Linked DNA regions of Ovis aries. The protein of the gene in region 1 purifies or fractionates together with the protein of each later gene. This does not show direct contact. Links are inferred from orthologs where the notes say so. Each region holds a gene or a part of one and is shown on either strand. Other genes may lie near its edges.

Evidence for each region.
Region 2: the proteins of NOD2 (region 1) and XIAP purify together in Homo sapiens (affinity purification with western blotting; 3 studies listed by BioGRID and IntAct, with this or other methods). This does not show direct contact. The link is inferred for Ovis aries from reciprocal best matches to the Homo sapiens genes NOD2 and XIAP.
Region 3: the proteins of NOD2 (region 1) and SQSTM1 purify together in Homo sapiens (affinity purification with western blotting; 4 studies listed by BioGRID and IntAct, with this or other methods). This does not show direct contact. The link is inferred for Ovis aries from reciprocal best matches to the Homo sapiens genes NOD2 and SQSTM1.
Region 4: the proteins of NOD2 (region 1) and RIPK2 purify together in Homo sapiens (affinity purification with western blotting; 12 studies listed by BioGRID and IntAct, with this or other methods). This does not show direct contact. The link is inferred for Ovis aries from reciprocal best matches to the Homo sapiens genes NOD2 and RIPK2.

What each region holds. Positions count from the first base shown.
Region 1 is NC_056067.1:18,633,145-18,640,705, forward strand, and holds part of NOD2 (nucleotide-binding oligomerization domain-containing protein 2), read left to right. Parts: intron 1-349; coding exon 350-433; intron 434-642; coding exon 643-726; intron 727-3,595; coding exon 3,596-3,679; intron 3,680-5,684; coding exon 5,685-5,768; intron 5,769-6,833; coding exon 6,834-6,917; intron 6,918-7,561. UniProt on the Homo sapiens protein: Pattern recognition receptor (PRR) that detects bacterial peptidoglycan fragments and other danger signals and plays an important role in gastrointestinal immunity.
Region 2 is NC_056080.1:107,804,727-107,812,902, forward strand, and holds the start of XIAP (E3 ubiquitin-protein ligase XIAP), read left to right. Parts: upstream 1-2,609; 5' UTR 2,610-2,831; intron 2,832-6,277; 5' UTR 6,278-6,591; coding exon 6,592-6,646; intron 6,647-8,176.
Region 3 is NC_056058.1:1,195,641-1,203,201, forward strand, and holds the end of SQSTM1 (sequestosome-1), read right to left. Parts: coding exon 7,454-7,561; intron 6,695-7,453; coding exon 6,614-6,694; intron 2,231-6,613; coding exon 2,016-2,230; intron 1,759-2,015; coding exon 1,563-1,758; coding exon of another isoform or gene 1,381-1,562; exon of another isoform or gene 591-1,380; coding exon 433-590; downstream 1-432. UniProt on the Homo sapiens protein: Molecular adapter required for selective macroautophagy (aggrephagy) by acting as a bridge between polyubiquitinated proteins and autophagosomes.
Region 4 is NC_056062.1:86,799,375-86,807,673, forward strand, and holds the end of RIPK2 (receptor-interacting serine/threonine-protein kinase 2), read right to left. Parts: intron 7,335-8,299; coding exon 7,241-7,334; intron 5,334-7,240; coding exon 5,178-5,333; intron 4,604-5,177; coding exon 4,260-4,603; 3' UTR 2,864-4,259; downstream 1-2,863.

The DNA.
Region 1 (7,561 bases):
CATGCTCCTTCTCACCTCGGAACTTTCGCAATGCTGCTTTCTCTTTTACAGAGCTGAAAACAGTGCCTGCAATTAGGTAGGGCCTTCTTAAGGATTCCAGTGTTCTTCAGTAGAGACTCTCGATCCCCACTTCCAAAGCCCTCCACCCCACCAAGTGCATGACATTAGCACCCTGGCCGGGCACGGGGGAGTGTCCACTTTTCTGGGGTGCTCTGTCCTTGTGGCATTTCCCAGAAGCTCAGAGGCTGGCACTTCGGGGTTAAGTAAAAGTCTCTTAGGGGGTTTTGTCCATTTTTTTCCCTCTCTCATTGGCTCTGTGTTCAGATTTCTCTATTTTGTTTTTGTTTAGCTTGCGAGATAACAACATCTCAGACCGAGGCATCTGCAAGCTGGTTGAACATGCTCTTCGCTGTGAGCAGCTGCAGAAGTTAGCGTAAGTCAGGCTGTGGACGTTGGGCCCCGTGTCCCCAGACTCAGCCCAAGCCATGCTGCCTGGGCAGCAACTGTGAGTGAGTGATGGGCTGGGATGTTTGCATGGCCAGAGGGCACAGGGGACTCCTGAGGGAGCCAGTGACCGGGGTTGGGGTGGTCACTGTCCACTATGCTTTATCTCCATGTCTCTTCTCTCTTGGAACTTTCCAGTCTGTTCAACAACAAGTTGACCGATGGCTGCACACACTCCATGGCCAGGCTCCTTGCGTGCAAGCAGAACTTCTTGGCTTTGAGGTGAGCCTGGGGCTTCCCTACTCCTGGAGACTTTCGTCCCCACAGCTGAGTCAGTTTGGTCTGGTCTCGCCCCGTAATGGGCATATGACCTTACCTCGCTGAAAACAAGGACAGTGTCTCGTTCTGAATAGGGCTTCACTGATGCTATGACCTCCCCAGCAAACTCTGGACCATCGCTGCTGAGGCTTCCTGCTGTTTGACCTTTAGCCCCCAGGACTGAAGAGGGTTTCCAGGACCTTTTTTCTTCCTTGTGTCTCAGAGTGTCACTGGCTGTCTGGGGTGATCCATTCCTTGATGGTACACTCAGCATGCATTGGGTCGGGGTAGGAATGCAGCAGTCACTTGCCGCCACAGAGGCAGCTAGTTGCCAAAAAAGGTGGGTCCAATGCTGAGCGTCCCTGGTGGCTGACACAGTAAAGAACATGCCTGCAATGCAGGAGACATGGCTCCAGTCCCTGTGTTGGGAATATTTCCTGGAGTAGGAAATTGCTATCTACTCCAGAATTCTTGCCTGGAAAATTCTGTGGACAGAGGAGTCTGCTACAGTCTATGGGATCACAAAGAATTGGACAGGACTGAGCAACTAACACTTCACTTTCTAGTCTGGAAAGGCTGAGTTTCTGCTGCTCCCCACCCTCTCAGCCTCAAGGGGAATCTCTTTCCCATCTGACACCATTGCATCATCCCCCAAGCTGGTCCATGGGTTGGCCCAGCTTCTTTTTCTCTTTGAGATGTTCTTGCCTCCTGGGTTTATGAGGCAGGGTGGTGGTGGTTCATTCGCTAAGCTGTGTCCAACTCTTTGTGACCCCATGGCCTGCAGCACACCAGGCTTGCCTGACCTTCACCATCTCTTGGAGTTTTCTCAAACTCATGTCCATTGAGTCTGTGATGCCATCCAACCATCTCATCCTCTGTCACCCCCTTCTCCTCCTGCCCTCAATTTTTCCCAGCATCAGGGTCTTTTCCAATGAGTTCTTCACATCATGTGGCCAAAGTATTGGAGTTTCAGCTTCAAAGTGAAGAATTGCTTCCATGCATTTGGGGGTGAGCTGCCATTTTAAAATTGTTGACTCCGTCTCGGGCAGGGCCACTGAGGCCAACACCAGAGGCACCATTCTGTACTGAGGACTCTCTTCTGCCTCCACCACCTGCCACCCTCAGCTCAGGAAGCCAAGAGCGGCTGTGGCCAGAGCTGGGCTGGTGCAACCTCCAGGGAGGGCTGTAGGGTAACAAAAGGTACTGCTCCCAGAACTTGAGAGGTCTGTGTTTTGGGTTAGTATAGCATCTCAGTTGAGAGCAGGGCCCTGGAGCCAGACTGACCAAGGTTTGGATCCAGCATCCCTGAGACCTGAATCCTCACAGTGACTTCTGTTTTCTGTGTCTCTGTTTTCCCTTCTATGAAATGGAGAAAGTAATTACAGCTCATAGCTCATAGGTAGTTGTGATGATTAGAAAGTGAAAGTTGCTCAGTCATGTCCAGCTCTTTCTGATGCCATGGACTGTAGTTCATGAAATCCTCCAGGCCAGAATACTGGAGTGGGTAGCCTTTCCTTTCTCTAGATGATCTTCCCAACCCAGGGATCGAACCAGGGTCTCCTGCATTGCAGGCGAATTCTTTACCAGCTGAGCTACCAGGGAATCCCAAGAATACTGGAGTGGGTAGCCTATCCCTTCTCCAGGGGATCTTCCTGACCCAGGAACTGAACCAGAGTCTCCTGCATTGTAGGCAGATTCTTTACCAGCTGAGCTGCCGCGGAAGCCCTGTGACGATTAAACAAGTTAATATACATAGAAAGCTGGCATAGTATCCCAGGTTCTTTCCATAGTGGACTTAGTGCCCTAGAGATGGTGGATAAATCACATAAGTTCTCAGCGTGTTGATCCTGTTTGTCCAGTCCTCCAAGGAAGGATTTGCTGGGGGAAATCCCTATGGGGGGAAATTGGGAAAGGGAGCTGGAGGGGGAGGCTGGGAGAGCCGCAGGTCTGACCGTGAGGGAGAGAGAGAGGGAAGGAAGGTTGTCAGGAGGAAGCATCTTGGACCCCAGTGCAGTTTGGAGAGAAGACAGAGGCTGCTGGGGAGTCCTCCAGCCAGTGTGCCTGACAGAGGAGGCTCAGGTCTCCCAGTCCTGGGCTGGGAGCAGCCCGTGGGAAGCAGGCCTTGGGGCAGAGGGAGCACTGGACTTGCCAGCACAGCAGCTGGGGCCCTTGGTCACCCAGGAAGGTCAGAGGTCTGTCAGCTTAAAGTGAATGAAATTTCTTTGAAAGATGAAACTGGCAGTATTATTCCAGGAAGCCTGGAGCTGTGGGTGAGAGTTCCGGGGACCTCCCTGAAACTCTCTGAGGTGCCCGAATTTTGCCGAAACCCCCTCCTCCGCCCTTGCCTGAAGGCTTAGCAGGATCCCTTTCTTTCTTTCAGCCACCAGAGCGCCACCCCCCAGGCACTTTCAAAACAGGTAGATGCCACCTGCAGCCACCGTGGATGGGGCAGGCTGCGGGAGGAAAGCAGGGTCCAGCGCCCGCCCGCAGTCAGAGGAGAGGGTGGAGGAGTGAGTCACTCTCCCTCCCTGGGGAAGCCACCTCCCTGGACTGTCGTGGTTCCTGCTCCTACCTGTCACAGCGCTTTGCAGAACAGGCCCTTGCATGCCTCTCCCCTTGCTGGTGGAAAATGAAGTCGCAGGAGCATTCAGTGAGCCCCCGAGCTGCAGCAGCACACGCCGCGTCTCCAGCTGGAGCTGGAGGACTGGTCCCTGTTTCTCTGCCTGGGCCACACTCCCTGTGCACCCCCCTCCCCAGGCCCGGGTCTTGGGGCCCAGTAAGGGTCCTCCTGCCCCGCTCTCTGTCTCAGTCTCTCTTCTGTCTTCCCTTCCAGGCTAGGAAACAACCACATCACAGCCGCGGGAGCCGAGGTGCTCGCCCAGGGTCTCAGAACTAACAACTCCTTGCAGTTTTTGGGGTAGGTGGGATTCTAGGGTAGAGGGGCAGCACGCAGGGGTTGAGGGCTTGTGAGGATTTAGGAGCCTGTGAAACCAACTCTTCAGCCCCAAGATCTCCGAGACAACCCCCACCCCCTCACCCCCCCTCCCGCCTCCACCCCCCCTCCTGCCTCCACCCCCAACTCTCGCCTCCACCCCCTGCCCAGGCTGCAATGGGGAGGGAGAGCGTGGGCAGCCCTTGTTGCCTCTGCCTTGCTTTTTGCTCAATAAACAGGAAGCTCAGGATGTCAGGGTTGGGGGAGGGCAGAGCCCAGAGCAGTGGCAGGAAGCCCTCTGGTCCTCCAGAGCGCTGGAGCTGTGTTTCTTACCTTGGTCTATATGTGGGAACCACTGGGCTCCTGAAGAAGGCCACTATCTGCCCCAGGCTAATTAAATGAATTATCTACATGCAAGGTCTGGAATCAGTAATGTAAAAAAGCTTACCAGATGATGTGCAGCCTGGGGTGAGAGCCAAGGAGAGAAGGAAGTGGGGAAGTTTGGACCCTGGACCTTGGATGGGAGGAGGCTGCACCAGGTCCTACAGAGCCCTGGCTTCCTGTGGGGTCATGCCAGGCAGGGGAGAGGGGTCGGACACAGGCGGGAAGGGCAGTCCACAGACCTCCGGGCCCCAAGTGGGGCTTTCTCTGTTTGCTGGGCAGACAGGCTTGTACCTGTCCAGTCCCCTGGAGCTTCTTTCCTGTTCCATCTTGCCCTGGTGTAAACTAGGGTCTATTTGAAAACAAAACAAAACAAAAAAAAAAAAGGGGGGGATTTTAGAACCCAAGACTGTAGGAAGAATGACTTTAGAGCCTAGGTGTTCCAACTCATTTTACAGACAGGCAAGTTGCCCGTGGGCTGTGTTTGAGCCCCGAGTGGGACTGTGTTGCTGGAGAGATAAGACCTTGTCCAAAATGCATTAGTAGCATCACAGAGTCTAGGAGAGGGTGGCCGCGGCCCCCACTGAGCTCCTTCCTTCTTGAGATCACATCTGGGGTGTTTAGCTTTCAACACCTGTTTATGAAGGTACCTGTCTGGTCTTGGTCTTGTGCTAAAACCCTCAAGCACTATCACGTGATACAAACTGTTATGTAACTTGCTTTTTTCTTAACACTGTATTATTATACTGTATTATAACACTGTATTATTTTGTTCATATCACATGACCTCACTTTTAAAAAGAATAGCTGCTCAGTATTCCAGTGGTTTGATGTCGTGATGTGTTTAGTTGGTGTCATGCACACTTTAGGTTGTGGGCAGGTTTTTGCTATTACAGTGTCACACCCTGGAGTGTAGAGTGGTGCTGGCATGGGGCCAGAGCTCAGTAAGTGTTCACCTTATGAGTGAAAGTGCAGTGAGCATCCCAGTCCTCTCTGCCCATGTGGGCACCTCCGGGTCCATCCTCACTTCCCACATGGGAAATGGCCAGGTGCCAAAGTATGAGCTGGGCTCCATCTTTGAAGGGGGTGTTTCCCAATTAGGGTGGGTCTGAGGAGGAGAAGCCAGAAGGTGAAGGAGCTTGAGGCTCCAAAGGAACTGGAGGCTCTGAAGGAACTGGGGATATAACAGAGGAGCAAGAGATGAAGAACTAGTGTTTGGAAGAAGAGTTCGCCTTCTTCTGGGTGGTCCTAGAGATAGCGAGGGACTCCTGGGTGGCAGTGAGCACAAGCAGGTCTAACCCAATGTCGGAAAATGTCACAACTGTGACTTGGCATTGAGAATGAGTCCCCATCCCTGAGAATATGCACTGGGTGGGCCTCTAACTATTTTGAAAGTCTGATTTAAAGAAACCAAAAAGTCTAATTGAAGTTTTTCCATCCCTCCAAAAAGATGGAGGCAGGCTCACTTTGCTGGGACCTGAGTCCCCCTGAGACCTTTCTGGGACTGGGGAGTCCTGCTCCTCTGCCTGGGGCTGCAGAGAGGAGGGGCACGTGTCTTGAACACAAAGCAGGTTCTCACTGACACTGTTTATTCTGTTGAACCTTTCAGGTTCTGGGGCAACCAGGTGGGTGACGAGGGGGCCCAGGCCTTGGCTGCAGCTTTGGGTGATCACCAGAGCTTGAGGTGGCTCAGGTAAGCCTCAGAGTTCGTCCTGCAGTTGGTGGGGGAAGCCAGTGTGAGGAGGGAGGAGCTTGGGCCAGTTTTGAAGGTCTGTGAACTTTATTTTCACCCCACTGTGTTAGATAACGGGATGAGAAGGAAAGAGCACTGGAGTTGAAGTCAGGACACCGGAGTCTTGCTGGGTGACGTTGGATCCCTTTTCCTCTCAGGAGTCTTGATTCCCTGTCTGTACTCAGAAGATCTTGGGCTGGATCAGATAGTTTAGTCGCTCAGTCGTCTCTGACTCTTTGAGATCCCATAGACTGTAGCCCGCCAGGCTCCTCTGACCATGGGGTTCTCCAGGCAAGAACACTGGAATGGGTTGCCATTTCCTCCTCCAGGGGATCTTCCCAACCCAGGGACTGAACCTGGGTCTTCCACATCTTCTGTGTCTCCTGCATTGCAGGCGGATTCTTTATCCACTGAGCCACTGGGGAAGCTCTGGACCAGATACACTTTTTAAAAATCATTGTTTCCTTTAGGCTGTCCTGCGTCTTTGTTGCTTTTCTCTAGTTGTAAAGAGCGGGGGGCTGCTCTCTGGTTGCAGTGCAGGGTTGCTTTCCTCTAGTTGTAAAGGGCGGGGGCTGCTCTCTGGTTGCAGTGTGGGGGCTTCTCTTGTCGTGGAGCACGGGCTCTAGGGCACGCGGGCTCAGTGGTTGCTGCACGTGGGCTCTAGAGCACAGCCTCAATAGTGTCATAAGGGCATATGGGATCTTCCTAGACCAGGCATTGGACCCGTGTCTCCTGCACTGGCCGGTGGAGTCTTTACCACTCAGCCGCCAGGGAAGCCCTGGATCAGCTACACTTTATCTCAAGAGTCAATTCCAGTCTGTTAGTGGGAGCTGCTCAGCAAACCATGTTGGGAAGGATTCTAAAAAACTGCTTCTGGACTTAATGAGAAAGAGCACTGCAAAGGATTAGTCTGAAATGGAGCAGACCAGGACTTGTGGCAATGTGTGCCGTGCATTTTGCCCTCCTTGAGTTATCTTTGAGGTCCCTCACTGCTCTGACATATTTTTGTTTTTTGACTACATCCAGCCTGGTGGGGAACAACATTGGCAGCGTGGGTGCTCAAGCCTTAGCATTGATGTTGGAAAAGAATATGGCCCTGGAAGAACTCTGGTGAGTTTAGGGGATTCATTTCACTAGGGAAGCAGACACCAGCCTTTTTTCATTCTCTGGCCTCATCTGTGGAAGCTGATGTGTGTATAAGACAAAGATGGATGACTGAGTGATTGGGTGATTGTGTTTGTCTTTGTCCTAAGTGGCATGAAGTTTATAGAGCCTGGCTAATTCTTTTCATTGAATTTTTCAAGCCAGTATGATTGGTCTGTTGGTTTGTGAGCTTCCTCCATGGCATATAATAGTTCAGAGCACAGACTCTGGAGTCCAGCAGGCTGAGCTTCAAGTCCTGCTGTGATCTTAAGCAAGCTAAGTAACAGTATCTGAATCTCAGGTTTCTTACCTGTAAAATAAGAGTATGGATGCTTTCAACTATTACATACTTTTGTGAGAATTTAATGAGATAACACCTGTAAGTAGCTTTGTATAGTGTCTGGCATATGTGTAAGTGCTCCATAAATGTGAAATTGTAATAGGATAGTGTCTCAATGGACATGAACTTGAGCAAACCCCAGGAGATAGTGAAGGACAGGGAAGCCTGACATGCTGTAGTTCATGGGGTCGTAGAGAGTCAGACCTGACTTAGCAACTGAACAACAGCAAATATTTCTACGACTGTTGCTGCTACTACTACAATGATTGCT
Region 2 (8,176 bases), on another chromosome or scaffold:
CATCTCTCATCAGGCTCTAGTTGTGCCTCCCTCTCTTTGCCTCTTCTGCTTGAGGGGTGATAATGACTTCCTTCTGAGGCTTCTCCAGCACACTTTAGCATCCCTTATTGCTTCCCTTATTCTTGCCCACATCTTCAGTCAAGTCGCCTCAGATAAATCCTTTGAGTGTGTCATCAATTTTGTTGTTGCTGTTTAGTTTTGGGGGGCTTTTCATTTTGTTTGGGGTTTGTAGTTGTTTTTCAGGGGAATGTGTTTTGTTTTGTTTCTCAAGGGGTTTGTTTTGGCTTTTTGTTTTGTTGGGGGGGGGCTTTGTTGTTTGTTTTCTTTTTAGGCTGTGCCCTGTGGCATGCAGGATCTTAGTTCCCCAACCAAGGATCGAACCCGCACCCTCTGCAGTGGAAGCACAGAGTCTTAACCACTGGACTGCCAGGGAAGTCCCTGTCTGCTTTTTTTTATTCCAGGACAAGAAATTCCTTGCCTGGCAATGAATTCAATCTGCCCTAGAATGGGGGCCAGGACAGTGCCATTTGCATTGAGCCTGGGGCTTTCCTCCCCATTAAGTGACAGTACATCAGAGCCATGGACTTGGGTCCTAGAAAAATAGACTAATACAGATCTGAAGTAAGGGTGCAAAAGACATTTATTCAGGCTTACAAGGCTCTTGGGATTTTTGTGGAAAAGGGAGGTAAGAAGGCCAGGCTTCACTAGGACTACCAGGCCCTAAACAAGGAGGATGGTACAAAATCACTTCTACTCCTGGCACATTGGCTGGTCTACAGGGTCAGAGGTGCTCTGAAACACATACTTCATGGCAATAAGCAATCATATCTGAAACAGAGAGAGTGAGTCACTTTAGTCCTTTGTAGGGCGGTGAGAATACTGGGTGTTTCCTTTGCTTGCATTGTTCCCAAGTCAACTATTTGGCATCCTTCATGATCTTCTGGAATGTCCGTAATCACTAAGAAAATGACTACTGTGGGTCTCCTGGTCCATGTTAATTGTTCCCATGGCCAGAATTCAACCATGTCTGGGCATGTCTTTTCATAACCTGGAGGGGCAGGCAACACAAAGATATTTTTTTTGCATCAGTATCAAATTGCTCAGGACACCTGTGTAAAGGAGGTTTGCATGAGCACCTGGGGAGACATGAAAATAAAGAAGATGGTACCCAGAAGATGCTGGGATGTTGATTCCCTTGCCCAGCCTCAGAGACACATGTTTGAGCCCTATATGGAGAAAGGCTAATGGCATAAGCTGGTGGATCTGGTTCCCAGCAGAGATGTAATAACGTGGGAGGGGAGCACTACCCTGACACCTGATCATTTGCAGCTTCAGTGATATAAGGAGCCTATACTCGACACAGATGTTCTGTGTGATGAAAATTAGGAAAAACTTGGAAGTAAGGCAAAAGGATGTCCTTTCCATGTCACAGTCTAACAGGCTGCCCAAAGATTATTTGTCTAGAGGAATATGTTTTGCTTGACTTACTATTTACTACTGATTACAGTCAAGTCTCTCTGAAGTCTCTATTAACTTGCAGACTGTTTGTAGAGATGCAAATGCTTCTGTCAAATAGAAATGACAGCCTCCAAGCTAACAGTTGTATTTCCCTGTAGGACATTAAACAGTATTGTATTGAAATCAAACTTCATAGTTTTACTTTATAATTATTTCTTTGAGTGCCTATATGCACTTTCTTTCAAGTTCTCCTTTGTTTATTTATTTGTTGTACTGGGTCATCATTACTGTGCAGTGGCTTCTCTTGACACAAAGCGTGAGCTCTAGGGTGTAGAGGCTTCAGTAGTTGTGGCTTATGGGCTTGGTTGCCCCAGCATGTGGGATCTTCACAGACCAGGGATTGAACCCATTTCCTCTGTATTAGCAAGTGAATTCTTAGCCACTGGACCACCAGAGACGTCAAAATTCTCCTTTGAATCAACTTAACATACTGCTGTCTCCTCATTAATGAATTAAATATTTATAGGGGCTTATTCTATATTTTGTATGTCACATATTTTTAAACATTTGTATTAGAGTTTAGCTGCTTTACAATGTTGCATTAGTTTCTGCTGTACAGCAACGTGAATCAGTAATATGTATACATATATCCGCCCTTTTTTTTAGATTTCCTTCCCATTTAGGTCACCACAGAGCACTGAGTAGAGCTCTCTATGCTATACAGTAGGTTCTCCTTGTCACATTTTCAGTTTTCTAAAAATTATACTTTGACAGTGGACACGTAGCTATGGCAAAGGTGAAACACTCTTCAGGTGTTTAATTGAACAGTGGATATAAATGAGAGGGCTGAGGCAAGTGAGGAGGATGGTGGGTGCCATAAGGTAACAACAGCTGAAAGATAGGTTCGTGAGGATGTTAAAAATATCCCCTGGGGACTCCCAGACATGACTTGGTGAAACAAACGTTTTACCTAAAGTTCCTGATTTCATCTTGATTGTGAAGGCAGAAGGAACTCAGAAAAGGGAAGCTGTCCAAGTTTCACTGAGACATTATTTCAAAACCTTTTCATGGAAACTTCTAATTGGATATCCTTTGGCCAGCTTGAACTCATGTCTAAAACTGTACTTCCTTTTCCACTCAAACTTATTTCTACCATTTTCCCCACTTCTTGAATGGCAACTCTTCTTACCCAGTCCTTCAAGCCTGAAACTGAAAAGTCATCCTGGACTTCTCTAGACTCTACGTATAAAATCAACATGGTCAACGTAAATAAAAAGGTAAACGGAGACAGCCTCAGTTTACCAGAAATTTAGTTTATTTGGGAATAGCAGAGAAATTGCAATTCAAGAAATGCAAGCTGTATCAAGCTACAGGTGAGTCCCTTGAGGGTTCAGGGTGGGCTCCATTTATGGGCAAGGAGTGCAAAGAGGAGGATGTCCAGCCAGAGCGCAAGCAGCAAGTTCACTGGCTTGAGGATGGGGAGGGATGTTTGTTGGTCAGGAGATAAGTCTCTGTCCTCTGGAAGTCAGGCATTTATGGGAAATCAGTCTCTTGGTTAAGTTCCATTCTTCTGAGGACACATGCCTGAGATTCTCTATTTCCAATCCTCCAGTTCCATTTCAGGTTGAAACCCTCTCACAGTACCCAAGTCTTAACTAATTATATCTCATAAACATTTTCCCCTTCCTGCTACTGTTTTGTTAATTCAGTTCTTTATCACCTCTCGCTTGATTAGCCTCCTCACCTGACTTAGGTTTCACCTTTCTTATCACTCATCCTGCCAGTCTAGTTTATACAATGTTGCCAGTTTCACCTCATTAAAAAATATTATAATCATGTTACTCCTCTGATTAAAACCCTTCAAGGGGTGGGGGGAGACTTCAAGGGAAGCCAGTGTAGAAGTGGAGTTGATGGAATTTGATAACCAAGTGAGTCAAGCAATCCGGGATGTGAAAAGACTCTTCAACGTTTTTACTGCCTATAGGGTAAAGTCCAGTCCAGGCTCATAACACTAAGGCAATTTACACCTGCTCTCAACTTACTTTATCAGTCTCATCTTCAGGCCCTCCCTAACAAATACCTTATACTATGATTATATCGCACTTCTCACCATGCTCTTCATGCTTCCTAGTCTTTCTGGCCACTGTTCCCTTTGTCCCAAATGACCTCATCTCTCTTCTCTGCTAAGTTCATTCCTATTCACCTGTCAAACTCCTCCAGGTGGAACTCACTGGTGTCTCCTTAAGTTTGGCACTATAGATGCCTTAATCCTGACACTGGTAGCCCTTGACCAGCTTACCAGCCAACTGGTGGTCACAACTCAATGTCCTCCTCCACCATGTGACAACGAAAGGCAATATCTGACCCTAGACAGGCTCCTGTACTGGGGTGGGGTAAGGGAATACTTAAAGGACATTATTAGGTCAACTGCTAAAATTGGAATATGGGATGATAGATTAAAGTGTTGTATCATGGAAATTCCCTCATGGTCCAATGGTTAGGATTCTGCCTGCCACTGCAGGGGGCAAGGGTTCAACCCCTGGTCAGAGAGCTAAGATCTCACAAGCTGTGTGGAGTGGCCAAAAATAATAAAGTGTTGTATTAATGTAAATTTCTGAAGTTGATAATTGGATTGTGGTTAAAGTAAGAGAATATTACCATACTCTTCAGAAATATGCACTGAAGTATTTAGGGGTGAAGGGCAATGATATATAATTCTCCCCAACAGTTCAGGAGAAAAGATAGAGAGAAAGGTAGATCATACAAATGATAAAGCACATGGGGTAAAAAGTTAACAGGTGAATCTGGGGTAAAGATGTTTGAGGAGGTCATCAGGAGGAAATGACTGCCAGTTGACCCTGGGATTGGACAAGCAATGGGAGGCTTCTTATCCCCTCCCCTGCTTGCTTGGAATTCTGCCCACTGCTCCCATGCTGCTGCTGCTAAGTTGCTTCAGTCGTGTCCAACTCTGTGCGACCCCATGGACGGCAGCCCACCAAGCTCCCCTGTGCCTGGGATTCTCCAGGCAAGAACACTGGAGTGGGTTGCCATTTCCTTCTCCAATGCATGAAAGTGAAAAGTGAAAGTGAAGTCGCTCAGTCGTCTCCGACTCTTAGTGACCCCATGGACTGCAGCCCACCAGGCTCCTCCGTCCATGGGATTTTCCAGGCAGGAGTACTGGAGTAGGGTACCATTGCCTTCTCCAACTGCTCCCATAGCCAGAGGTGATTCAAGGCCAGAGCTCTGAGAGAGTGAGGTATTGAGACCACCTGGACTGAATAAGTGACTGAGCCCAGTTTGGGCCTCTGTGTAAACTTTTAAGATTCTGGCAGGTGGGTGTGGAGATGGGTTTGTTTTGGGACCATCCAAGATGAGCCTCCTATGTAAGTTTCCTAACTTACAAAACCTCCTCCTACCAGTCTGGGGTGGTCTGCCTCTTTGGTCTCTCCTCGCTTCTGAGGATAAGGCGCCAATCTCAAATTTCACCTGGGGAGCTCCAGAGGTTTTGAACCGACAAAAGGGTTTATAACTGTTCTTTAAACTATTTCTTTAAAAAAAAAAATGTATTGGCATCTAGTTGCTTTACAGGACTTCACCAGTAATGAATCCGCCAGCAGTGCAGGAGATGTGGGTTCGATCCCTGGGTCAGGGTTCGATCCCTGGAGAAGGAAATGGCAACCCACTCCAGTATTCTTGCCTGGAGAATCCCCATGGACAGAGGAGCCTGGTGGGCTACAGTCCATGGGGTCTCAAAGAGTCAGACACGGCTGAAGGAACTGAGCGTGCGTGTGTGCATAGTTACTTAACAATGTTGTGTTAGTTTCTGCTGTACAGCAAAGTGAACCAGTTATACATATATCCCTTCATTTCTAGATTTCCTCCCCATTTAAGTGACCACAGAGCATTGAGTAGAGTTCTGAGTGCATGCATGCTAAGTCACTTCAGTTGTGTCTGACTCTTTGTGACCCCATGGACTGTAGCATGCCAGGCTCCCTTGTCTATGGGATTCTCCAGGCAAGAATACTGGAGTGGGTTGCCATGCCCTCTTCCAGGGGATCTTCCCAACCTGGGGACTGAACCCACATCTCTTACATCTCTAGCACCACCTGGGAAACCTAGAGCTCCTTGTGCTATAACAGAAAGTTCTCACTAGTTATATATTTTATACATTATATATATGTATATAAAGTCCATATATATGTATGTGTGTGTGTGTGTGTTTGTGTATACAGTCTTCCCTGGTGGCTCAGCTGGTAAAGAGTCTGTCTGCAATACAAGAGTGAAAGAAAGAAAGTGAAGTCACTCAGTCGTGTCCAATTCTTTGCAACCGCGTGGACTGTAGCCCACCAGGCTCCTTGTCCATGGGATTCTCCAGGCAAGAATACTGGAATGGGTTGCCATTTCCTTCTCCAGGGGATCTTCCTGACCCAGGGATCGAACCTAGGTCTCCTTCATTGCAGGCAGATGCTTTAGCTTCTGAGGCACCAGGGAAGCCCAGGAGACCCGGCTCAATCCCTGGGTCAGGAAAATCCCCTGGAGAAGGAAATGGTAACCCACTTCAGTATTCTTGCCTGGAGAATTCCATGGACAGAGGAACCTGGTGGGCTACAGGCCATGGGGTCACAAAGAGTCAGACACAACTGAGTGACTATATATATGTCAATCCCCACCTTCCAATTCATCCCACCCCTCCTCTTTATACTAGTCTTATTCTAGCATTCTTGCTGTATGTTTGAAATTATCTCCAAATAAAAAAAATTTAAAATCATGCAATAATACCTTTATCAGAGTACTTATATTGTGATTGTGTCTCCACTAGCCTATGAGCAATCACAGATATGGACTGCTGCTGCTACTGCTGCTGCTACTGCTGTTAAGTCGCTTCAGTCGTGTCTGACTCTGTGCAACCCCATAGACAGCAGCCCACCAGGCTCCCCCGTCCCTGGGATTCTCCAGGCAAGAACACTGGAGTGGGTGGCCATTTCCTTCTTCAATGCATGAAAGTGAAAGTGAAGTCACTCAGTCGTGTCCGACTCTTAGCGACCCCATGGACTGCAGCCTACCAGGCTCCTCCGTCCATGGGATTTTCCAGGCAAGAGTACTGGAGTGGGGTGCCATTGCCTTCTCCGAGATATGGACTATGATTCATCATTTCCAGGGAGCATGCCTTCACAGGACAGGACAAATGGTAGGTATGCTATGCATGCTTATTAATTGACCATAAGCATTAGCAAATGCATTCCCTGCAAAGGGTGTACTGATAAGGGTTAATCTCCTGGGTGATGTGTTAGAGGTTCAAGCAAGTTAAGAAATGTCTGCTGGTGCTCACAGCAAAACCATTTATCATTAACATTCTTGATGTTATCGCCTCTTGCCTTCAGGGGTTGGTTTGACTTTACAGAGATACTTCTGCAAAGGAAATATCATGGATTCCTCAGTTCTGAGTATGTTAAGGCTTTCCTAAAGTAAAGCCCAAACTGTGTTATGCTCATTGTGTTGAAATTTTAAAGCCCAAACTGTGTTGTACAGCCTGTGTTGAAATTTACCATTTCCTATTATTTCTATAATTGAGCAGACACCCTGAAAAATTTGTGAACACTCCCATACCACCTTCACAAAAAGGTATGATTGTAAGCCCCAAAGAGGTCACATGATTCACAGAGGCAACTATTCAAACAAGTGCCTGCTCCATCACACCTGCCTCTAATTAAGAAAATGACTCATCAGTACTCCATGATGGGTAATTGTTTTTAGTAGTGCTTTTCTTTTTAAGCTCTTTATTTATTTATTTGGCTGCACCTGGTCTTAGTTGTGGCACATGGGATCATCCAGCTTCCTTGCAGCACGTGGGATCGTTAGTTGTGTGTGAGATCTAGTTCCCCAAGCACGGATCAAACCGGACCCCCTGCATTGCGAGCATGGAGTCTCAGCACTAGACCACCAGGGAAGTCCCTGTTTTTAGTACTGCTTTTGACTATCAAAGAAACATAATACAATCATTCATGAAATTTAAAAAAATGTGTTGAGTATCTACTATTTGAGGGGTATTGCCCTGGTCATTGAGGATACAGTAGTGAACAAAACAGTGTCCTGGTGTCATGGATGTTACAGTCCAGTAGGGGAGACAGACATAAGACAAGCAAGCACATCAGAGATTACTTTTGAAAAATTCAAAATTTCAAGAAAAGTATAATAGATTCCTGGGCGTAAGGCTCAGTGTTCCTGGAAATTATTTCTTTAGGAAATTTGAGTGTATACATTTTGCAGTTTCACAAAATTATCAGTTAGAGAGTCTATATATTAGTATCTCCTTCTTGAATTGAAAATTAGTGCTGTTGACTTGTCATTAATAGAAGTAATGGAATTAATTCTTCAGGAATTTCCTCAGTAACATATGAATGAACCCATGTCAGTTAAAACATCCAGCAGGAACCGATGGCACACTCAAATGTTTTGAAAGAATCATTTGATAAGGCATCTATTTACAAAATTTAGATAGGGTATAGAGAATCCACAAGTGATATTCCAAACCCGAGGCTAGTAAGGCTGTGAACAGTCCTAAACTTGAAGCAGCAAAGGGAGAGAGTGATTTCTTGAACTTGGGTGTAGGGGAGAGCAAGCACCGGGTGGCAAGGGCTACCAGACAAGAAGAGTTATGACCTTCAAGTGACAGAAAGAGCCAGTTTACCTCCAGACACCTCTCAGGGAAAAAAAATCA
Region 3 (7,561 bases), on another chromosome or scaffold:
GAGGATATCAAACTTCTAGCAGAATATCAATTACATATCAGTGTAGTCATTAGAAAAAGCAGGAAGCCATTTGGCAAGATCTACTCTGGACTGCTGGTATAATCCTGCAGGGGGAGTGCGGACAGGATGCAGTACGGTCTCCACGTGCTCCCCAGCGAGGAGTCTCTCGCTCTGCCCCAGGGGGGCTCCCCTAGCTGGAAGGAGCCAGACATCCACGGGAAACTGATCCGTTTCTCAGAATCAGCACTCACACACTTGGAACTCCCCCCATGTCACTTGCTCTTACTGCCCTAAATGGCTTTGTGCATCCCCACCCCCCGATTCTGAAAGAAGAATGACGAGAAATTGGCACTTAGAGGCACTGGGGTTCTACACTAACTCAACACAACTATGAGACAAGAAAGGGGACACAGAATGTGTGAGCAGACATCGTCACAAAGGTGGTGGGTGTTTTGAATACTGGATGGTGTCCAGGGCAGCCCCGATGTCGTAATTCTTGGTCTGCAGAAGCCTGGTGAGCCAGCCGCCTTCATCAGAGAACCCCATGGATAGCATCTGGGAGAGGGACTCAATCAGCCGGGGATCAGCTTCTGCCAGAGAGAGTAACAACAGCTATGAGGAGGCGGCACTGTGCCCCAAATGTGCCTGTACATGGCCCTTTCACAAGGTCTAATCCTCACAGGGACCCTCCAAGGCAGGGACTGTCAAGCTTTTTCTGTAAAAATCAAGAGTAAATATTTTAAGCTGCTTTGCAGGCTATTTGGTCTCTGTCACAAATATTCAACTCGGCTGTTGACGTATAAAAGCAGCCACACAATATGTAAAAAATTAGTGTGTCTATATTCCAGTAAAACGTACATTTATGAATACAGATTTGAGTTTCATCTCATTTTCCCATCTTGACTTTCTTCCAACCATCATAAAGATGACAAAGTCATTATTGGCCCATAGGCCATAGTTTGCCACTCCCTGCTTCAAGGCAGAGAAGATAAATACTGGCAGCCCAAGGGCTGAATGTGGCACACAGATGGGTTCCACCTGAATAATGGTTTAAATGTCTCTGCCATGTGACAGAGATGGACCAGAGCAGGGTGTGAGTGGCCTCACTTATTCAGTGTGTGTCCCCAGGCTGCCACACTCCCCACGCAGCCCTCCTGCCTTCCACACTACCCCCTCTACATGGTGGCTCCCTGCCTGGCTGCTACTGGGAGCGTGACTGTGGCCCCCGCCTAAGACCAGCACTTTCCACGAGCAGACAGTGGAGATGGGCTCCGAGTCCACTTTCAGCAGCGCACGGCAGCGCCCGAAGCCAGTGCTGCCGCCACGTCGCACCTGCCTTCATAATTCCAGGTCTGCGCTACGTTTTAGAAATTACTAAAACTAGCTGAGCTTACTAAGGCTCATAGAGACGCAGAGGAGACAAAACCAACTCCTAGATTTCTCTTGTATCAATAGACAAGCCCTGCAGTAGAGACTGTAATGCCTGTCTGCGTTGCTAGAAGCAAGTGATAGGATGTCTGAATGGAAAAGGGAGTAGTACAGAACTATCTGAAATCCCTTGCCTGGTGGCAGATGTGGGTACAATGCAGCTTCCTTCAGTCCTGTGGGTCCTTCCTGGGAAGGATCCAGAGAGCTTGGCCCTTCAGATTCAGGCATCTGTAGAGACTGGAGTTCACCTGTAGACGGGTCCACCTCTTTTGAAGACAGATGAGTCCAGTCATCATCTCCTCCTGAACAGTTATCAGACTCCATCTGTTCCTGAAACAGACCCCCAGTGAGCACAAGAATGAGAACAGCCGGCCACCGGACCACAGCCTCAACTCTGCGAGAGACAGGGCACGCAGGACTAGCAAGAGTCCTTTTGCTTTACAGAATTCTAGTGGAGGGCTCACAGGACAACTTAAATGCCACCAACCACTCTGCAACGGAAACGGGCTCTGCTGGCTGTGTGAGTGCCAGGGAGGTGCTGTGACTCGTGCTGGGGGAAGCTCTGGATGTGTTAGGGGGGCACTTGCCTCAGGCTGACCCCCCGACTCCAGGGCGATCTTATTCATTTGCTCCGTCAGAGACTGTGTTGTGCCCTCCACGTCCCTGTCTGGCTTGCTGGGGTCAGAGCAGCAGCTGCTTGGCTGAGAGCTGCACTTCTCCTCTGTGCTGGAGCTGCCTGCAGAGGAGGGGGTCAGGCGGCTTCTCTTGCCTCCATGCTCCACATCAATGTCGACTTCAATGCCTAGAAGCCGGGGGGGAAAACAAAAACTTGATTAACAGCAACATCCCAGGTCAGCTTCAGAGCCACAAAGTCCAGAAACAGACTGTCTTCCCCTCACTGGGCAGGACAGCAGCTGCACCGCAGTGCGGAGGACGTTCTTGTCCTCACTTGAGGCACCCTACTTGCGTGCAGGGGCCGAGCGATGTGAAAAACACACACGCTGAACACGCTACCCCTGCTCGGGCAGGCAGACAGCTCGTGCAAGCTTTGTGTGAGACCTGTGAGACAGCATGTCCACCTCCAATCTCTCACACTCTGGGCACATGCTCACTGAAGGGAAGGGAGGGCACACTCACTGGGTTCATGTTATAATTCGTTTTACTTTCTCCAAGGACACACCCCATGTCTCAGAGTGAAGCAAGTTCAAAAGAACAGGGCCTTCTCTGGTGGTTCAGTAGTTAAGAATCGTCCTGCCAATGCTGGGGCCATGGTTTTGATCCCTGGCCTGGAGCAACTAAGCCCGTGTGCCACAACTACCGAGCCTGTGCTCTGGAGCATGTGAGCTGCAAGTCCTGAGCCCGAGGGTCCCAACTACTGAAGTCTGCACACTCTGTGGCCTGTGCTTCACAGGGGAAGCCACTGCAATGAGAAGCCTATGCAGAGCTAGACAGCAGCCCCCACGTGCCCCAGCCGAAGAAAGCCTGCACGTACCAAGACCCAGTGCAGTCACATATAAACTAAAAAAAATTTAAGACTATGGGATGGATAAACATCAAGGCCCTACTGTATGACACAGGGAGCCATATTCAATATCCTGATAAACCACAATGGAAAATACATATATGTGTTACTGAATCACTGTGCTATACAGCATAATTAACATTATAAATCAATTATACTTCAATAAAATTTAAAAAGCAATATAGATTCCCTGCCCCCACCACAGAGCCTGGCCCACCCTCCAGAGACAACTTTTAACTGACAACGTGCTGCTTCTGTCTTTCCTGACTACTTAGGTTTACCATTGATTTCTAACTCTAGATGATCGACACTTCCCCTGTCCTTTCAAAAACTCACTTTGTGGTAAAAACTGTATTCAGTGTTTATGGTAGTGCCACTATATACACAGTGTTCTTTGCTGGCTGAGGAGTGGGCTTATTTCCTCAGAGTTTTCTGTATCTGTAGCAGTAATGATGCTTTCTTTTTCACTTGGTAACTTTCCCCATATTCTCTCACAGCTTCTCTATAGCGTTTTCTACACAGATTAAGTGTATCAGATACCCCATCCATTCTGGTTTTCCCCCTGGAGACCATCCCAGGCAGGCGTGGAGCTTCCAGCTCCAGCCTGGACAGGCAGCTCTCTGAACCAGAGGCACAGCGCCTATGCCCTTCCTTCCACCCTGGCAACTACCGCGGGCACTCTCTCATCTGTTGGGTACCATTTTCAAGTACCTCTTTCTTCATTCTGGACTTGTTTATTTTGGCCAGAGAGACGGTTCAAGCCCAGGTAAGAAGATTATGACCTTGTCAGTTTCACTCCTGACAACTCTTTTGCTCCCACACTTGATCATTTTAGTTGGGTACAGAATTCGAGGCTGAAAATCCGTTTTAGATGAGACTTTTGAAGTCAGTGTCTTCTAGCTCTTAATGTGCTCCTTAAGTTCCCAAGCTTTTACAGCAGCCTTCAGAGTTTCAGGAGTCTCTCTTTGTCCCAAGGGTTCTGACAGGACAATTTTAAGCTCTGGTGTGGGGTCTTTTTCAGGCCTTGTCCAAGGCATCTGGGGCCCTTTTTAATCCAGAGGTTAATGGTCCTAGTGCCGAGAGACTGTCTTGTATTTGTTCATCTCCTCCCTTCAGTTTACTCTGTTCTCTCTGGAATTCTTTCATCCTATGTTGGGCCTCCAGGATTAATCCTCAAATTATCCCACCTTGGTTACTTTCCTCCATCCATTTTCCATCTTCCAAAGTTTGATGAGATTGTTTTATCTTGTCCTCCATTATTTTTTTCCCTTTTTCTTTATCCATGTTGCTTTATTTTGTTTAACCCCTTCACTATTATTTTAGTAGAGTATGAGGAGCAAGCAGAGAAAATAAAAGCAGGCTTAGCAACTGGTACCCCATCTGCAATATTTACATTGTTTTTCTTCTTCCATTTCCCCTGCAGTTTTCATTGTGAAACATTCAAATAATCAGAAAAGACAGAAGAACAGTACAATGGATACCCATATACTTTCTAAAATGGGTGAATGATGCGACTCTTCTGTAATGAATTTTCGAGATTACTGAATTAGAGTTTTTCCAACTTGATGATAATCTGAGACTTCAGGGCTTAGAAGACTGTACCACAGTCTCTGCCCTGCTATCCCCAAAGCCTCTATGTAGGGGTTGTGGAAGACTCCACGGCCCTGCTGTTTTACATCCTAGGAGTCAGTGGCTGTGACCTCCAGCCAGGTACAGCCCTGGGCTCATGCTCTTGCTCAGCTGGCTCTCACAGCACTTATCAAAAAAAGGTCTCAGTCGCTGACTCACTGTACAGACTGCCCTCTGAGAGGTATTAGTGGTTATATCCCTCCTGGGCCCCTGCTGTTGGAACTAATGTTCCCTTCTAAGCAGTTAGTAGACTGAGTTATCCTGTTAGTTCCTCAAAAGAAAGGAAAATACCTGTAACTCCAAAGACAGAGTTTAATCCATCCCTCGAATGGCTCTCTTGAATAGCTACTCAAACACACATTCCACTGAAACTTGTTTTGTAGGGTTCCAGACTCCTCCCAAGTTAGCAGAAAGCACTCCCGCCACTCTGAAAGACCTGAGAGCCTTAATTCTTACTGCCGAAGACCTCAGAACACTTCTAAAATTATTCCCTTGTGTCCTGAGTGGAGAATCCAGGTCCAGTTCTGAAACACTTCACAAGCTCAGATGGGTCTCAGGATGGAAAGCAAGTGTGACAGTCTCCTGGGAAGCCTTCAGAACACATCGACCCTCATGCCCTACCCAAAATCCACTTAACCAATCAAGGGACCTGGAACTCCTCACTGTTTTACAGTCTCCTGCCTGAATGTAGATGTGGTTTTGTGACTTCCCAAGTTATCTTGTTCATTCTTTCAAAAGAAAACTTTTCTCTTCAGGATAATCAGTTTTAAGAGTTTCCATACACCAAAATATATACCCTCCCATAAAAAAACAAAAACAAAAAATAAAAATCAACCTTTCATTGGTGATTCTGATGTTCAGTGCACTTGAGAACCACTGTCCATTTACTATCTTCCGAAGAAAAATTTTCCATGGCCTCTAAGTAACAACCCATTAGTTGGGATTACTTAAAATCCTACTATGTCTTCACTATGTCTTAAGTGAGTGGCAGAGTTTAGGAATAACCTATCTCCCAATTATTTCATCTCTACTCCACTGTTACCCTCCTTAGAAAGCATTAAATATACTAATTATTTTTCCTCACTTGCTCAAAAGTCTTTAACTCCAATGCAGAAATTGTGTGAGATCTATTTCATGTAGCAGTGATGCCAAGATGTCACTGCTACTTCAAAGCTGCTTCAATGTGAGCAGAAATGGTCTCAGGTTGGAAGCAATGGCAGTCATGCTCTGTGAGCCACAGGGCGGGTGGTGGGTGAGCTTGGACACCCTCCTACAGCATTCTTTCAGACACTGGACACCACTTTTGGACAGACCAGGTAACACTTCCTGCCACTGCAGTCACAAAGATGGCATCATGGATCCATCATAAGTCACCTTCATCAGCTGATTCTTATGGCCACAACACAGCAAGTGCTGTTTGAAGTTTTATTTTTAGCCTTGGGCCAAGTCACTCTATGAAGGTGCACAGCTCACCCACCCAGACACCCACCCTGGGCCTGCACCCTGGGAATCCAGCAGCAGACACGAGAACCTTCCTCCCTCACTCCTTTCCCTCTGACAGTGGCACAAGCCCAGTTCTTAGGAAGCACCAGGAAAGGTTGGGGGTTGCAGAAAAGGGAAGAAAAGCAATATGGCATCTCAGCTAACTACTCACTGAAGTCCTCAAAGAAACCCCAAGGCTCAAGTAAGGAGAAATACAGAGTGGTCTTCCAAAGGAAGAAGATGAAGGGCAGCCTTAAACTGAGCCTGGTTACCCTCCCTAGTGGGATTACCCAACCAAATGCTGGCTGATTCTTGGCTGATTCCACTTCACTCTGTGTGGAAAGCTAAAGAATTTGTCAGGGAGTTCAACCTCAAGCGGCCTGTGGTGCAGCACTTGGTCAAGACTGATTGATATGAGGCCAGCGAATCCTTACTGGTCTCAAAGACACATCAGCTGCCCCTCCTCTGCAGTATCCCAGCTGAAAGCCACAGAACAGCCGCCTGTACACTGGTTACCAAACGCTCTGCTGATGTCAAAGGAGGGGCACTTACCCAGAGGGCTGAGGGCAGCCGCCACACTCTCCCCTACATTCTTGAGGAAATTCACACTGGGATCTTCTGATGGACCAGAGGCTTTGGTTTCAAAAAACAAAAGATACTTTTAATTCAAAGCATCTCTCTCAATGACTGAAACCTGTCACAGTCCTGTCTGTCCCAGAAGCCCTACTCCCGGGGCCTGTTCCCAGCAGCCTATACCCTATTGCTTCCCTCTCTCCCCCTCTCTAGGCCACCTCCTAGGCCCCTTTGTCTTTCACACCACTCCCCCTTCATCTACCTTCCTGGTGCCTAGAAACTCTGTACACAGAGTATAATGTATTATTTACCCCTCCCCCGGAAAAAGCATTATTTACTCAAACAAATACCCTCATCTTTGTCACTAAGGACAAGGTGAGTCAAAGGACATAGTAATACTAATAAAATCAGAATAAAACTAGAATCTAAAAGTTCAGAATGCAAGCTATGTGTAAATTTTTAACTTGGGAACTGTTTTACAAGACTTGAGCAAACCTGGCTGTGACTTTCCTAACAATTAGCATGAACAAGAAGAGAGCCGACTGGAGACGCAGGCGCTGGAGGGGCCTCCCACCTGCATGGGAGGGCCACCGGGGCAGGTGCATTAGTGGCCTTGAGCACCGAGGCACTAGTTTTCCCAGATGTACAATGGAGATGATGCTTGCACTTTGCAGGATTTTATGAGGATTAAATGCACAAACGGCCACAAAGTGCCTAGGCCAGCCACAGGCATGCAGGATTTTAGGGCACAGGGAAAGCCCTCCAGCTCTGCAGGCCCTCACATCTCATCCTTCAGAGGCCAGCAGATACAACCCTCACCTGATTCCGTGGCAGGGCCAGGGTGGGCCTCCCCTGCCTGAGGAGGACGTGGGCTCCAGTTCCCCGGTGGGCCCATCTCCCAGCCAGGCCACCCAAAGTGCCCATGTT
Region 4 (8,299 bases), on another chromosome or scaffold:
CCTTTGCCCTGCTTCATTTTGTTCTCCAAGGCCAAACTTGCCTGTTATTCTGGGAATCTCTTGACTTTGTGTTTCAATCCCCTGTGAGGAAAGGCTTTTTTTTTGACCCTGTGTAGAATCACTGCAGATGGTGACTGCAGCCATGAAATTAAGACGCTTACTCCTTGGAAGAAAAGTTATGACCAACCTAGATAGCATATTCAAAAGCAGAGACATTACTTTGCCAACAAAGGTCCGTCTAGTCAAGGCTATGGTTTTTCCAGTGGTCATGTATGGATGTGAGAGTTGGACTGTGAAGAAAGCTGAGCGGCAAAGAATTGATGCTTTTGAACTGTGGTGTTGGAAAAGACTCTTGAGAGTCTCTTGGACTGCAAGCAGATCCAACCAGTCCATTCTGAAGGAGATCAGCCCTGGGATTTCTTTGGAGGGAATGATACTAAAGCTGAAAATCCAGTACTTTGGCCACTTCATGCAAAGAGTTGACTCATTGGAAAAGACTCTGATGCTGGGAGGGATTGGGGGCAGGAGGAGAAGGGGATGACAGAGGATGAGATGGCTGGATGGCATCACTGACTCGATGGACATGAGTCTGAGTGAACTCCAGGAGTTGGTGATGGACAGGGAGGCCTGGCGTGCTGCGATTCACGGGGTCGCAAAGAGTTGGACACAACTGAGCAACTGAACTGAACTGAACTGAGACTGTATGAGCCCAGACTTTTGGTGCAAGCACTGTTTTCAGTGTGGATGCTTGCCACGTATTCCTCAGGGTGCGCTGGCCCTTATTCCCTTGCTCGCGGGTGTGGCCAGGGTCATGGTGACCGGTGCTTGCAACGAACCTGGGGCAGGAGCTCTTCTTTGTGGTTGTCACCACCCTGCTGGGGGTAGGATCTTTTGCCCAGTTGTTACACAAGTTTCAAGCACAGTTTTAAGCTGAGCCGTGAGATGGACAGGACGGGAGGGCTCCTTCTGGGAAAGAAGCAACTGCATTTTCTCCCCAAGAGTTGTTTTGCTAGTAAATGCGGTTCTGTGATGCCACCTGCCACCGGGTGTGCATGCCAACCAAGACCACCATTGCTGGCCGGTCCTCTGTGCCCGCTTCCATGGCGGGGGGTGGGGGGGGGGTGGGGGTGAGTGGGGGTGCCATCATTGGCTTGGACGTGCGTGTGTCCTCACAGTCACTGGCATGAAAACCTGCAGAAGCTGGTTCCTGTGCCCAGCTTGGGAATGCTAGTAATTTGGACCAGCCCCGCCTCCAAGTGTTCACACCCATTGTTTGCTAAACTTGCTGCACCTGGCTCCTGCCCCACCGTGAGCAAGCTGATAATGGCGCTGTTCCGCTGGACCCACACCCTGTCCCTGCCTTCTGTCGACAGCGTGGCTCCTGTAGCAGACCCACACGGTTCCGTGCACACCCCAGGCCCTCAGGCTGGCTGTGCAGCCAGACCAAGTCCCCTCCCCTGGTCTGTCTGCCGAAGCGCAGGTCTCAGCACTGAGTAGCTGGGCACGGCAACAGGTGTGTCTCTGGGGCGGGGAAGTGTGCAGAGGCATCAGACTGACAGTGCTGGGCTCTTTTCATCCTTTGGTGTATAGGGCAGCTTCTGCACTTGCCTCTGAAGCTCCTCTGTCCTGGCAGACCTCCCCGCCAGTGAAGGAAGTTCCCAGGATGAGGAAATATTTCCCCAGTTCTCTCCAGGCAGATCCTGTCCAGATTCCTCTCCTCCCTCTCCCCTTTATCTTACCTGGTTATCTGGGGGTCTCAGTTGTAGCCTAGGTTGTATGAGATTTCCTGCAGACTTTCAGTACGTCTTCTGCAAGGATTGCTTCACAGGTAGATGTATTTTTTATGCATTAATATTTGTGGAAGGAAGTGAGTTCCATACCCCCCTGTCATCTTGATCCCCTTCTCTCTGTTTCTTAAAACAAAAGGTCTCAAACATCAGAGACTGAGTCTGAGTGGTAGGAAAGATCTGAGTGAGTTAGGGACCATGAGTTGGTACGTTTCACAAGTTCTGGCTGATTTTCATGCAGCTGCTCTGCAGACCAATCTTCTGGGTAGCACTGCCTTAACATATAGTGCAGAGTGCGTGAGCATTACCTGTTACTACCTATTTAAAAAATAGATTAGAAAAACGGTGACACATGTAGGTCATCTTCAAATGAATTCAAAAAGTTACAAAACAATTCAAAGTTACAAAATTCCTGCTAAACATTGTTCCTGAAGTCCTCTCTTTTTACTAAAGGGGATAAAGGATGATAGCACAATTTTAACTTTCTCCTTTACTTAACTAGAAGATTTGACTAAAAAGAACTTCCTATGTGACTAAAATGTTAATTTAGTGCTGTGTGCATACTACCTAAAGCAATCTCATCCACTACCAGCTGTGTTCGCATTACATCTTGGAAGTGTGATTTCAAGGAAACCTCTTCCTTCTCTCTTCTCCAGCTTTCATTCCAGTGACATTCACTGAGGAGATATTCAGACAGCGTCTGTGCCAGGCCCTGTGCTATACCGACAGGTCAGACTCAGAATACCCTGTGGCACCTTCCCCTAAACATCACTGCATTATCAGGTATTAGTATAATGGAAACTGGCTGCTGAGACTGCAACAATTCTACTAGGTACTGAGAGCTCACTGTAGATTCATCTTGATCCTTGTCATCACCATCTTCGTCAATACGTTGTTATTACTCATGCAGAAAAAGTCTGCAGAGCTGAAATGGACGACTGTATCTGTGCTTCCCATATATTAAGTTAGGGAAGAAAGTGGCTGATACGCACGTAGTCCTAAGCATACAGACTGGAAATCTTGAGTTTTTAGATCTGGGCAGAAAATGAAAAACAAAAAACAAACAAAAAGAAAAACCCAGGGCGAAGTTCACTTTATCAATCCAGATACCACATCATTAAACTGAGATAAAAGTTAATTTGAAGCCATCAAGATTCAAAATAATAAAAAAAACTGTATAAAGGGGAAAACCTCCAAATGATTTTCTCCCTCATTTCCCAAATTAAATCTTTATCCAGACACTTTAAAAATAAGATATAATAAAAGATAGCTCATATGCGTGGTTTCTGCCTTTCCCTAGTAACTGCCATATTTCTCAGAGACATAGTAATGAGGCACCAGAGGCCCAGCTCCAAAATGGAGACTAAAATACCTATTTTAATAAAACATTTAATTGCCTCAATGACATCTACTGATTTTACTTTTTTCAAACCGTGGGTCATACTGTATAGCCCAACTTCAAAGTTTGTCCTTTCAAATTTATCTTATATCACACTTTTTGCTGACATTGCTAATAAACATTTTCAGAAAAGGGCTATTATTCCTTATTAGTTTTCACCTTAGTGACATAACCCATTAACCAAAAAAAAAAAAGCAAAACACCTCACACTGTATATATCATTGATTTGAACAAGAAAATGAAAAAAAAAATAGCTCTAGTAATATTATATAGCAATCAAAACTTATTAATTAAGCTTGAATGTGATCTGGAAGGCTTCACATGATGTACTAAATGCAAAAATCAGGTTGAAGTATGATGTGTTATAACAATGATAATATTAAGAAACAATCCTTCCCCAAACGAGCATATATTTCAAATATGAACAGGAAGAAAGCGATAGAATGATACATATCAATCTGTTAATTTTGGCTGTTATCTTGGTTGTTAGTTCAGGCTAGAAACAGGAGTAAAGCACATGCTGAAGGATTGTTTTTCTTTATACGCTGTACTCCTTTATCTTTGAAACAATCTTTTAAAGAGGTCAATAAATAACATTTAAATGTGTAATGTGGATAACAGAGCTTAATGAACAACTCTGAAGAGGACTGGAACCCAAGACTGTAGGATAAGAATGCTATACTACCTCTGATTTAAGTCTAAGGGGTACACTTCAAAAAGCCAAGCATCTCAAACAACAAATAATCCACAAAGAAAGTGTATGTGAAAATGGTTTCCATGAGAAACACGTGGAACCTGAAAACATTACTTTGTATAAGAAACATATAATTATTAATTGAAAAAATATTTTAATTAACCAAAGATAAAAATTGAACTGTGCAGCAAAACACAAACTTTCTACTGTATTAATTAAAAAAATACTATAATATCATGGAAGGAAACTAATATTTATCTGAAGAAGAAACTGCATTAAAGTTTTAAATACTCAAATGAATCTCATGAAAACAACTTTATCAAGGCAAAAAAAAATATAAATTACTTGTTTATACACTGACTTCTTTTCTTGGAAGGAGTTACTTTTTATGGCTTTTATTGTGAAAGAAATTTAAAGATGGTGATTGAGAAAGCACAAGTATTTCTGGGTAAGGCTGAAGACCCATTTGCTTATTATCTTTCAACTTTTGTACTATCACTCTGGCAAATTCTTCTCCTTGAATGTCAGTGATATCCAATAACTGTCTGACTTTTGAGGTCCTTGTAGGTTTGGTACTAATGAGTTCATAGTCCTCCTTCATTATCAAGTCTCTGGACAGGAGGGCGTCTAGAGATTGGTTAAGGCAGGCTTCAGTCATCTGGCTCACAATGTCTTCCCTTTTACTCTGGATCCACTGTTGGGCTATACCAGGCTGAAATCGCCCTGTAGAAAAGCAATGACAGGTAAAAAAGTGGGGACAGATACATAGCTATGAGTAAAATCAGATGATAAACAAAATAATAAGACATAAAATCTAATTTTTCTGTAATTATGCTAATATGGAACAGCACTATTTTGAAGGATGCTATTAATTTTCAGGAACAAATCTGATATTTGGGTTATCTCCTCCCTTCCCCTCCAAGAAAATGCACTGCAGTTTTACTCTTTGTAGGTCATGGAGGCAAAGGTAACTTTTTTTCAGATTTTTTTTTTAAACATAAAGGATACTTGAATATTTGATAAATAAAAATATATTAACTTTAGTGACATATTAAGTCACACCTCCTCTGAGCCCTCCCTCCCTAGATAGACGTTCATGGAATACCATTTAGGCCTGTGTTTACATGTTAACATTCTTGTCTTCAGGGATTGGGAGTGCTTCCCTATTTACAGTACATATATAACATACTGAAGAATACTGAACATTAAATAGTGTATCTATTGAATATACAGTTGGGATAGCACAGTTGTGAGGTAAACGGCATCATTTACAAAGCGTTTCACAGCACGGATTTACCTGAGTTTCCCTCAACTGAGAGAGGATTCACTATTGCTGAAGAGCATGGGGCAGTCCTGTGGTTACAGAACGCTGCCCGATGATCCACACAGATGTCTCTGTCCTGACTGTGAATCACTGAACACGGACACAGCGCAGAGAAATCTTCAGTTTTTCCTATAAAACACAACATCTCCATTAGGGGTAGAATATTCCTATTAGCTAAAATATGAATGTCTGGATCACACAGAGGGTGGAATTTAATTGTCTTTTCATTTTCATTGCATAAGCTCATCCATAAACCTAACTCACAAGTAAATAGTTTTTAGATCAAAAAGGTTTATGATGAATTTTTTTTAAACCATATTTCTGTCTGTGCTTGTCTGTCCTATATAAATTATAAATCATAGGATTTTACTTCTTTATATCGTATCATATTTTTCCTTTTGTGTCATCTTCCCCCTTCCGTACTTCAAACGTGTCTGGTGAATTTATATATATGTCTTGCCAGTTTCCTTTGGCAATCTTATTAAACATCAACGTCTCAATGGTCACCTCTCTTCCCAAATCCATGTAATTGAATTTTCTGTCTTCACTGAACCTTAAGTCTTGGATTTTCAACAGGATATAACCCTCATATGTGCCTGTGTTTACATGTTCACCTCAAACTGTAAAAAGTTAAAAAAAATTATTCATCTTAGCTCTAAAACTCATTTCAACTCCTATTTCTGTTAATAGCACCAATGTTCTTCCAACTAAACTTGTTCAAAGCTTTAGCTTTATGTTCATCTTTTTTTTTCTCTATTCCCTCCTACAAGTGAAAAGCTGTAGTCCTATCAGTGTGTCCTCTGTAATGTTTCTCACACCGTTCTCCGCTTCTTATACTCTGGAGAAGGTTTCATAATTTCTCATGGAGTACATTAATAGACCAATAGACTCCTAACTCAGAGAAGGCGATGGCACCCCACTCCAGTACTCTTGCCTGGAAAATCCCATGGACGGAGGAGCCTGGTAGGCTGAAGGCCATGGGGTCGCCAAGAGTTGGGCACAACCGAGCGACTTCACTTTCACTTTTCTGCATTGAAGGAAATGGCAGCCCACTCCAGTGTGGAGAATCCCAGGGATGGGGGAGCCTAGTGGGCTGCTGTCTACAGGGTGGCACAGAGTCGGACACGACTGAAGCGATGCAGCAGCAGCAGCAGTCTCCTAACTGGGCTCCCCACCTCGAATCTCCTTTCCCTTCCAAAATATCCTACATATTCCAGCCAGGATGAATCTTTCTAAAGCAAAAAAGTTTATCATGTCACACATACCCTTGTTCAAAAATTTGCAATAGTTGTTTCCTACTCAAGCAAATGAGTCCAAATGGCTTAGCCTAGTATTAGAATTCGTCCTGATGACTCCACCCTCCTCATCTTTGATGACCTTTCATTCACCGTCTTCGCCAGCTAGACCCAACTACTCACTGTTCTCTGGGTTTTCTTGCTTCTTTGCCTCTATGTAGCTCCTTTTGCCTGGAATGCCCATCCTTTATAACTACAGATCCAACTTTCAGCCAGAAATAATTTCTTCGTGATGACAACATGGTGTAGTAGAGTGACATGAAAATATTTATCAAAAAGACCTGGGTTCAAATCTTGGATTTGCCAGTTACTAACTATGTGATCCAGCAGTCTTGATCTTAAGAATCTGTAAAATGAGGAATATCTCCCTCACAAGGTTGTTGTGAAAGTACTTTGTAAAAAATGTTACTTTTCCACTATACTACCATAGCTCTACATCCCTATATCTCATACAATATATTGCTTTTTATCTAATACTATGGTGACTGAGAAATATTTTTGTTCTTTCTTATAAGATATTAAAAAAAATATTTCTGTAGTGTCTAACAGAATGCTTTTTATACTTAAATGTATTTAACATCCCATTACTATTTTTACATCTTCAGACTGTCACTTTTAAAAAATAAGTTATGAATGCAAACGAAAGACATGTTCCATACGAACCATGACTACCTGCAAGAATATGATCTTGAAAGAAAATTGAAAACTTGTAAGTAATAACTGACTGAAAAATATACACACCAGATAAAAAGTCATCGTCTTGAGGAGTTGACAGGGACACTGAGGTTCCAGGAGAACCACTAGTTTTATGGAGCTGAGAGGATCCACATGATTCCTAAAATAAATAGAAGATAAATTATTTATGTTAATGCAAAATTATTTAAAAAGTTATACAGCTTTAATTTCTAAACAGGTCTTGCTTTTGGCTTATTATAAACAAAGACTCAAGACTAACACAAATTATACTTTACAAAATTAAACACATATATGAAATAAAAAGCAAAGTGAACTTGATTTATCAGGTCAATTGAGTGGGTGGGGCAATAGTTAAATATATTAGAAACCATTATTTTTTCAATATTTTGTATATAATCTCACAGACTGTCCAACTGATGAACAACTAGAGATCTGTAACTCTGATTACCTGATACTGATTCAGATCAAATGCCTATTCTCAAGCCTCAGGCTCCTTCAACACGGAGGAGCAGAAATTCATGGAAGAAGTAATATTGAACTTGGCTCCAATCCTAGCTGTGTTGTGGAATTACTGCCTAACCTTTGACAAGTCATTTAAATAATCTGGTCCTCAGGTTCTTTCTGTATACCTATCTAAAAGCGTGCATGTATGGGCTCAAAGATCCAAGAGACAGCATATGTAAAGACTATATACTGTGTTTTATGGTTCATTTTGAAGGTATTATTACTTTTCTGAATCTGTATAGAGAACATATATATTCCTAAAAGAAATGATTAATATGAAATAATTCTGAATAAATGCTACTAAAGAAATCCTTCTATTTGAATAGCCACATAAATAGCATTTTCCCTTTATCCAGTCATTGTAAGAAGTTAAGAACAAAGCAGGTAGTACAGCTTATAGTGGCAGAAGTGTATCAGTGATTTGCGATGTACTACCCTGGGAAACCAGTCTTCACATAAAATGATGACAGGGACAGAATTCAATGCCTCAGAAAGAAGTGAGGACTGGGATTTGATGAGATGAACCAAACTGGAGACTGCCATCTTAAAATCCTAAAACCTCCCTGGACTTGAGCTTCTCATCTATAAAAGACCGAGATA